Linked DNA regions of Yarrowia lipolytica. The protein of the gene in region 1 interacts with the protein of each later gene in a pairwise test. Links are inferred from orthologs where the notes say so. Each region holds a gene or a part of one and is shown in the gene's direction. Other genes may lie near its edges. The genes, in order: YALI1_C17609g and YALI1_B00273g.

The links.
Region 2: the proteins of YALI1_C17609g (region 1) and YALI1_B00273g interact in binary tests that used the Saccharomyces cerevisiae proteins (3 or more experiments, as listed by UniProt). The link is inferred for Yarrowia lipolytica from reciprocal best matches to the Saccharomyces cerevisiae genes SLP1 and EMP65.

What each region holds. Positions count from the first base shown.
Region 1 is NC_090772.1:1,758,512-1,762,944, reverse strand, and holds YALI1_C17609g (uncharacterized protein), read left to right. Parts: upstream 1-2,025; coding exon 2,026-3,861; downstream 3,862-4,433. UniProt on the Saccharomyces cerevisiae protein: May be involved in membrane protein folding. Required for localization of MPS3 to the nuclear envelope.
Region 2 is NC_090771.1:25,037-29,501, reverse strand, and holds YALI1_B00273g (uncharacterized protein), read left to right. Parts: upstream 1-2,126; coding exon 2,127-3,866; downstream 3,867-4,465. Other genes in the region: YALI1_B00280g (uncharacterized protein), read right to left, coding at 725-1,474. UniProt on the Saccharomyces cerevisiae protein: May be involved in membrane protein folding.

The sequences.
Region 1 (4,433 bases):
GTTCCTTTCAAGGCTTTCTACCGTCACTTCTCATAACCCGGTAGTCATCTTCACTCCTGGGTTTCTTCAGAAAAAATCGTTTAGTTTTTGTTAGTTTAGTTTTTGTTAGTTTAAGTTTTTGTTAAGAGTTCCCATCCAGTCCTTTGGAGGGGCAATTTTAATAGACAACTTTGTTAGGGTATCGAACGAACATCAAGCTGTGAGGACAGACGATACAACCTGTTCGGCTACTTTGACTATGCTATTAGCCCTGCCTTCTGCGTCGCGCTAAAAGTGAAGAATACGCCGCTTCTACAGAAACCTGGGCTTCATGATAGCTAATACAGCTCTAGACAAGAAACCTCTTACCGCGGCTTAGCAACTGCCTCAAAAAGATGCTGAAAACCTCTGGCTTTCCTGTCTTTTCCCCTTAAAAAGCGGGGAGTTTATCTATATGCCATAGAGTCGTTTCTCCACAAGTTCCGTTTATACATTCGTGTATTTTGAGCACGGAGGTCTGCCAATGATCATACAAAGAAGATATGGAGCACTCACACTAAAGAAACACGGAGAGATCCGTTTGCACGGCTTGATTATATCCCTTTGGATACGTTTCCAAGTGGTATACTTTGCCAGTATCGGTTTACAGACATGGATCTACGTAGACTGTATGTAGTCAAGCGGTTCCAGATACATGAAATGACGATAAGAAAGATTTAGCCAAGGAAACCAGCTGATGAAGTTCTCATAATGAAAACTGCGACAGAAACAAACCCCCTAGACCTCTAAACCGTGCCCCAAAGACCCTCTCCAGACGAAACCTGGCCATTTTGTAAACCGCATTTTAGTCGGAAGCGGTTCTCTCGCCCATTCCAATTTGGCAACAAGCAAGCGTAAGAGTCATTTAGTTTTGGTGAATCACTATCACATCCTCAAAGAGAGGACTCATTCTGTTCAAACAAGTCTAGCTGGGTCTATGACTGAAAATATCTGGCTAACAGAACAGAACAGAACAGAGAAGTCCCTATCTAATACGAAGACTAGACAGATCTTTACAGTTATTAGGTATAATAGCTCTTTTTAAATGATTAAGAGACTTGTTGTCTTTGTTTCGAATCTTTTACCGCGGTCCAGTCCATGTCAATGTCTCTAATGCTACTGTATTTACTGTAATTGAAAAAGAAGAAAGAAAAACTCCTCTCAAATGGGAAACAAACGGACCACACCAAGTGAAGAGCTTGATAAACATACTTAATAATGACCATTATTGCATTTTCAAAAGTTCCCAGGGCTTTGTGAGCTCGATTGGTAGTATGAGATTGAATTGTTGTCTGTAGTCCACTATACAAGAAAACGCAGCATTCCAAAGGTAAAATTTCCATAAAATTGTAGATTCGCTTTCATATTTAGACAATAAATGTCCAGATTAAAAGTTCTCCAAACCCCACCTGTCTTCAACTGTCGAAAACTGACCTTTTTTTTTTTTTTTTTTCTGAATAATTTGCTGCTCCACTTTAGTTGACTGTAGTTGTGTACGTTGGGTTTTGTTGACATTTTTGTTAGGTATGAACTGCTTGAGCCCGACTTTCGGGAATGAATGTATATGCAGAAAAAACGAAGAAATTCGAGTCTTGTTACTCAAAAACCACCACAATTCCAACCATGTCGTCCCTCCTATCCCTCCTAACCCTCAAGACTAGCATTTCTTCTTCTGCCAACGTGATTACATAACCAGATCGACTCCCGCAATTAATCAGCACCCAACTTCAGTCTAACACTGTAGAGCGGTGCAGATATGACGCAATGGTTGTATCAGATGTGAACGTCAGATCACGAGACTTGGGCTCAAATATTCCTAGATCCGTTCCCTAATCGAGATTGCCACGGCTCAATAGTCCGACTCTCTCCTCAATTGAGTCCTTCCTAATCCCCCTAATCTCCAATTTCCAATCTCCAGTCTCCACCACCCCCTAATTAAGTTTCCTACAGAAGTGTGATATCTGTCGACATATTGAAAAAAAAACACCGACCTCTGAAAAAGCGCAAATGAACCTCTGGAAACTGGTCCTCACGGCGGGGTTGGTGATGTGCGAGTCTCAGGCGGGCCAACCGACGCCGTCGCACCCGGCCCCGACGCTGCGATCGTTCGAAGAGTGGCGAATACACAACCTGTTGCAGAGCGGGCAGAACCTTGGATCGACGCCAGGAAGCGGTCCCGGACACAGTAACGGCGGTGGTGGAGGCAGCGAGCCGGAAATGGACCCGTTCACGGGCGAAATCGACTTTCTCTTCGCGGCGTCCGACGACCCGGGCAAGACCTACAAGGATCGGTTCAACTACGCGTCGTTCGACTGCGGAGCTACGGTCGTCAAGAGCAACAAAGATGTCAAGGGAGCAGGGGCCATTCTCGTGGAGAACAAGGACTCGTACCTACTCAACAAATGTGTGGCCGGCAGCAAACATGTGATCATCGAGCTGTGCCAGGACATTCTCGTCGACCAGGTGGTGGTCGGCAACTACGAGTTCTTCTCGTCCATGTTCAAAGACATCCGAATCAGCGTGGCCGATCGATACCCCGTGGCATCTGGAGAATGGAGAGTGCTTGGTGACTTTACAGCCGACAACATCCGAGATCTACAGACTTTTGACATCACCGTTCCTCAGATCTGGGCGCGATACGTCAAGATCGAGTTCCTCTCACACTGGGGACACGAGTACTACTGTCCCATATCTGTGGTCAGAGTCCATGGAACCACCATGATGGAGGAATGGAAACGCAGTGGAGGAGAGGGTGACATTGTCGCGGGCGAAAAGCTGGACGAATCTCTTCAGGAAGAAACGGCTCAGTTTGAAAAGGCTGAGGAGACGCTCCATGAAGAGAAGATGATCCAGGAGAATGTGGTTGAGAAGTCCAACCCTTCGCTGAACCATACCGTCATCGAAAAGGGCGAATGCATCCCCAAACTGTCGCTGGACAAGGTCAAACTGGGCCTCAACGAATACTGCCGTTTGGATGAGTTCTACCGCAAGATTGAACGTAACAACAGCAATAACAACACCGATACCACCACCAACAACCAATCTAACAACTCCACAACAACTCCACCGACTCAAGAGTCAATCTACAAGACTATCATGAAACGTCTGTCTCTACTTGAGTCTAACGCAACCCTCTCTCTCCAGTACGTTGAGGAGCAATCCAAGGTGCTCAGAGACTTGTTGTACAAGATTGAAAAGAAGCAAAACTCCAAGATTGACGACTTTTTGTTCCATTTCAATGCCACCGTGCTGCAACAGCTTGTCATGTTCTCTCAACAACGAGAACAGAAGCTCAATAGAGCCATCCTTGAGCTTGATCTGCAAAAGAGCCAAACAGACAAGAACATGGCTGCCATTTCGCAACGGTTTGCCATGCTGGCCGATGATCTTGTCTTTCAAAAACGAATGTCCATGTTCCAGGGTCTCATCCTTTTGGTGGTGCTCATCTTTGTGGCTCTGACTCGAGGTACCGGTCCCGAGTTATCTCGAAGATCACGATTGATGTTCAATACAGACGACTCGGAAGACAACTCTGACTTTGGGTCCTTCAGACGCCATCTGAGACGCAACTTCAAGCGAAATATCAGCAGTTTGTCTCCCAGATGGTCGCTGAATCTCACTCCTCAGTCCCCTGTGAGTGATGATGGAGTGGATGAGGGTCTGGGACTCGATAGCGACAGTGAAGACGAGCATATCGAGTCCCCGCCACCTCCCAGGACTCTTGGAAGTCCTCTAGCTACTCCGGGACCCAAAAAGAAGAAGTCCCGTTCGTTATATGATGAGCCTGTTCAGTGGGCAGGAGATACCCCTGAGCCGGTGGACTACATGAGTCCTGGGAGGTGATGATGACGACAAAAAGGACCACAGGCGCGACCGCAACAAAGAAGAATGAAGTTAACACGTATATTTATATTAGCATAATGCATTTTATTGAAGTTCAATGATATAATAGCACCTGACTTCATATCATAAGATGACATTTATGACATTAGACCTTGGCAGCGTCTGTATCTATGCAGTCAGAACTGCAGATGGCAACACGGTTTGAAACCATGTGGAGATCGTGCAAGCTGAAACTAGCGCCAAGCTCCATCTCAGACCGTCGATCTCGTAAAACAATCCACTCGCTTAACCAAGATGAAAGCGGTGTTTGACTCCGACCCTGCAAAGTCAGATTTCATAACACACATGGTTCTAGAACAGAAGAGATGAATGGTACGGGTAAGATGTTTCCATGGAGCGTCTGAAGACCATAGATTGTACAGGGCGTTATCGTATCGTCCAAGCAACCTCACGTTCCACGTCTGTTCCGACTGTCATTTCCAACGTGTCTTTCTCCTTCCCTTCCTCCCTATCTCTTGACCCCCACGCTGCAAGATACAAACCATGTAACCCTGGATCGATGCGCAACTGAA
Region 2 (4,465 bases), on another chromosome or scaffold:
TTGTGGGTGTACTCGTTCTACCCGTAACGGCACCTTAGTGGTGTCATTACTTCTTGCTTTATCATCTTGAGCACCCAGTCGAAGATATTTATTCTCAGCTGTCATCAATTCGACTTAGTGATACTGTGCCGTTGGATATATAGTGAGCTTCGGCTGTGGGTTTGAGAGCTGCTCAAAAACGGAGTCCTTTGTACGGCCTTTACCGTATCTACTCACTCCTGAACCCGTCGCTTTTTTGTTTATACCTCATCGTAATATACATTTGTTCCATATCAGCTAGTAGCCATATAAATAGGAGACGAGCGTGGAGGCCGAATTCCTGCACTTTGCAATGAGACCACTCGCCTGTTCATGGAGACGGTATTGGAAGCCTGACAGATCAGAAGATGATACTCTGGGAGATCACAGCGCAAGATAGAGAGGAGACCTAACTCCAGAGAGTCACCCATTCAGACACTAGAAATTATACCACCTCGGAGAGTGTGACAGTGGTGGGCAATGTTCCACTGTCTCCTGCTGTGGCGTATGTCTAAGCCGCTATGTGGAGCTGGGCGTTCTAGTCGAACATGTGGTGCACCTGTCAGTGTTGCCGAATCCAGTCTAAAACCCAGCTGTCACTGTTTCAGATCTTGTTGCGATTCCCGTCTCATGTTATCGTCAGGAATCCACAACTTGATGTCGACGTTGCCTCAACCTGTCATGATAGATTCCTCAATCCGTCTCGCTATCTCCACTGGATTCTCGGCTTATAGCCCTCAATAGCACTGGCCTTATCCTTACTACTCATGTCCTCCAACGACTCGTAGTCTGGCTCCACGTCATTCTCGTCGTCCTCGCGCTCTCTCAGCGAAATCTCCTGGATCTCCTTGCCCAGCTTGGTGATCTCGTCTCCGTTGGCAGGAATGTTCATCCTAGCGAGCTCGGGGTCCTTGAGCGACATCTGCGTGAACCCCTCCACAATCTCAGCCATGGATTTGCCCTGCTGGGCGTCCGACGTCAGTTCCTCCAGCAGGATGATGCTGCCCTCGTACTGTTTGCACGAGCCATAGTCGCCCCAGATGCTGCCTCGCAGGTCCAGAGGGTCCGACGACAGCTGTGCACGATAAAACTGGCTCGCCTGGTAGTGCTGCTTGCTGCAAAAGGTCCGCAGATACGCCCACGGCACGTCAAACTTTTGGTTCTGGGCCAGCGTGCCGAGAATCTTGTTTTTGCCCGACGCAGACTTGGGCACCAGTCCGCACGGAGGGTACCCGCAGATGTGTTCGTAAGTGCGTTCGCCAACCAGCTCGTCGTACACCTCGGGGGTGAGGTATCGCGACGCGTACTTGAAGGTCTGGATGTCGGTTTTCTTCGCCGACAGAGCCTCGATCACGGCGATCGTGATGAGTGCAGAAAGCTGCAGGTTTGGCGGCTCAGACCCCGTGTTTCCAAACCGAGTTCGTAGCTTTTCGATTTCCTCGCGTAGTTGCAACATGAATGTGTGGGGGTTGTTGTGGGTGGTGTGATTACGCGTCAAATGGGGTGTATTTGAAGCCGTTTGAAAAATTGCGGTCGTTTGGTTGCCGTCGTGGATGTGATTATCGGCGGTTTCGTGATTTTCTCGATTTTTTTCCGATTTTTGCGGTTTTTTTTTACCGCCACTCTCAATCGTGTTGCTGTCGTCTGCCTTGCTAGGTGGTCAAGATGCTGAGTTTAAATGGTCTGCAACAGAGACCAGTGACCCGCATTGCAGCCAGACGTACGTTAATACGACAAGAGACGGGGGGACAACTGGAGGACCATGTAGAGAACTAGGGAGATATCTCAATACACAAAACGACCTTGCTTGGTCAGCACATCAGATTGCCACTTTCAGAATTCGATTTCGACCAATATTGCGGTTTCTGGAGAAGTTTTTAGCACAAAGTATTAATCCGGTGTAGATTTGTAATTTTGATCAGAAAAGTTTCAAACATGAAGCTGCTGACTAATTCAACGTCTTATAACGTCCACATTCAGCTTTTTACTCTCTAATCCCCACCAATTACCGCCCACATCCACCCATGTATTTCCCTCTCACTATTGACGTCAGGCAGATGGAAACTTTAATTTGATGTCATCTCCTATTCACTGCAAAATCCCCCACAATGCGAAGGCGAACCAACACGTCGGCGAAAAGCGACCGAATACGTCCGCGGCGGTCTCTGTCGTCTCCGTCGCGTCCGCGGCTGTCGTTTTCAGACTTTGAGGGGTTTGAACGGCCCGAAAACCCGCCGGTTCCACGCTCATTATGGGACTATCTCCAGGTGCACCTCCAGGGCGAACAGCCGTACACCGAGGAGAAAAATGAGCACCTGCTGTCGCTTATCAAGGTGCCGCTGAATCTGGAGATGATCATGGCCTTTGGATTTCTCACTTGCCTCGACTCCTTCCTCTACACGGTCACAATCATGCCTCTCAAGGTGGCCTCAGTACTATGGGGCATAGCCAAACGTCGGTCGACCCGCCACGTGACCATGACCAACATGAGCGACATCATCAAGGCTGTGGTTGTCATTTCGACAATGACCTTCCTGCTGCTCATTGACACCTCCAAGCTCTACCACAACATCAGAGGCCAGAACGCCATGAAGCTCTACGTCATGTTCAACGTGCTGGAAATCACAGACAAACTGTGTGCGGCTTGGGGTCTGGATGTGCTGGAGTCGCTCTTTTCCGCAGGCACCCTCAACAACTACCAGCGACTCGCGACATACATGGGTCTGTACATGGCTTACTCGGCTGTGCATTCAGGGGTGCTGCTGTACCAGATTGTGACCCTCAACGTGGCCGTCAACTCGTACTCCAACGCGCTGCTGACCCTGCTGTTGTCCAACCAGTTCAACGAGGTCAAGTCGACCGTTTTTAAGCGGTTTGAACGCGAGTCTCTGTTCCAGCTCACCTGTGCAGATATCACCGAGCGGTTCCAGTTGTGGGTGCTACTGGTGTCCATCGGACTCCGGAACGTGGTCGAGGTCTCCAATACGGGTCTCGTTCCATCGTCGTGGTCGGGCTGGAATCGATGGCTAGGGGCTCTGCTGGGTCCTGCTCTAGTGGTGCTGGGCTCCGAAGTCGCTGTCGACTGGCTCAAGCACTCGTACATTGCGAAATTCAACAATTTCCGTCCCAGAGTGTACCGCAAGTTTCTGGACGTGCTCACTCAGGACTATCACGAGCATGCATTCAATGACCAGCTCATTACTCGACGAATGGGCCTTCCTACCACGGCTCTGGCGTGCGTCTTCATGCGCATGTGCTACCAGAGCTACCAGATTCTTTTCGAGTCTGGAGAGTCGCGTTTTGTCAAGGGAACGCCTACAGTCAGTCCCCAACTGAGAGAGACATTGGCACAGGTGGACACAAAGTTCGTCAACAACGTGTCCGTTTCTGAGATTGCCCAGGCCACAAGGACGTTTTTCAGCTCGTTGTACAACGGCACATCGCCTCTGGTGTCGTTTTCTTCCAACATTATCCCTGTGTGGGCGAAATTCGACATTTACTATGTGACGTATCTGCTGACGATGATTCTGGTGTTTGCGCTTGTGTTTGCCGTACTGGTCATCTTCAAGTTGTTTCTGGGCCTCACCTTGTTGAGGTACAGTCACAGCAAGAGAAGACGACAGAAGCGAACGTTTGACGAGATGGAAAAGAAGAGATCTGAGTCAATCAAGGACGATTATCTGCCTGGAAAGACGAGGGGGGGACAGGGCGTGATTGAGCTGACGGACGATATGCAGCAGGGTCTGTACAGCGACGGGGAGGAAAAGAAGGAGAAGCAGCACAAGAAGAAGGTGGTGGAGCTGCAGAATGTCAGCAGGTTTGATATGGTGAGCAAGAGGATTTGGTAGCCGAGTGCGGCGAGTGTTCCAATGAAGCGTAGCCTTGGCTACCCGGGGCACCATTCCTCCACTAGCTCGCATACCTCCCATATTTATTTATTTTATGAGCATTTTTAATGATTGGTCATGTGACCGCAGAGATGTATTGCTGTGTCATGCCTTCTCCAGCAGTTCTTGCAAGTCATACGTCTGAGCTGAAACAATCAGATCGCGGTGTTTTCGAGTTGTAGATGGTCTTCAGGGCTTCCCTGAAGAGAATTATCACCGACAGTTTGTCCATATCTCTGGTTGGATCACAAGATACTGTCACTCCAGTCACGACCAGCCAGTAGTACCAAGAGGTGTTTGATTGAACGCTAGACATTCGTCGGTACTGTACTCCAATCTCAAGCTTTTTGCCAGTCGACACTTCTCCTTCCCTCGACTTGCCCTCTCTACTGCCATCGTCAATGACAAACTACACGCCTCTCACCCATTAATCATTCAATCTATTATATACACTTATGGTCTATCTGCTGTGTGCGCATAGTTAACGAGGGACTCAGCAAAGTGACACCAATCGTCTCGCTTTCATTCGGTTAGGTGGCCGCAGTGATCCTCCAAAAGAA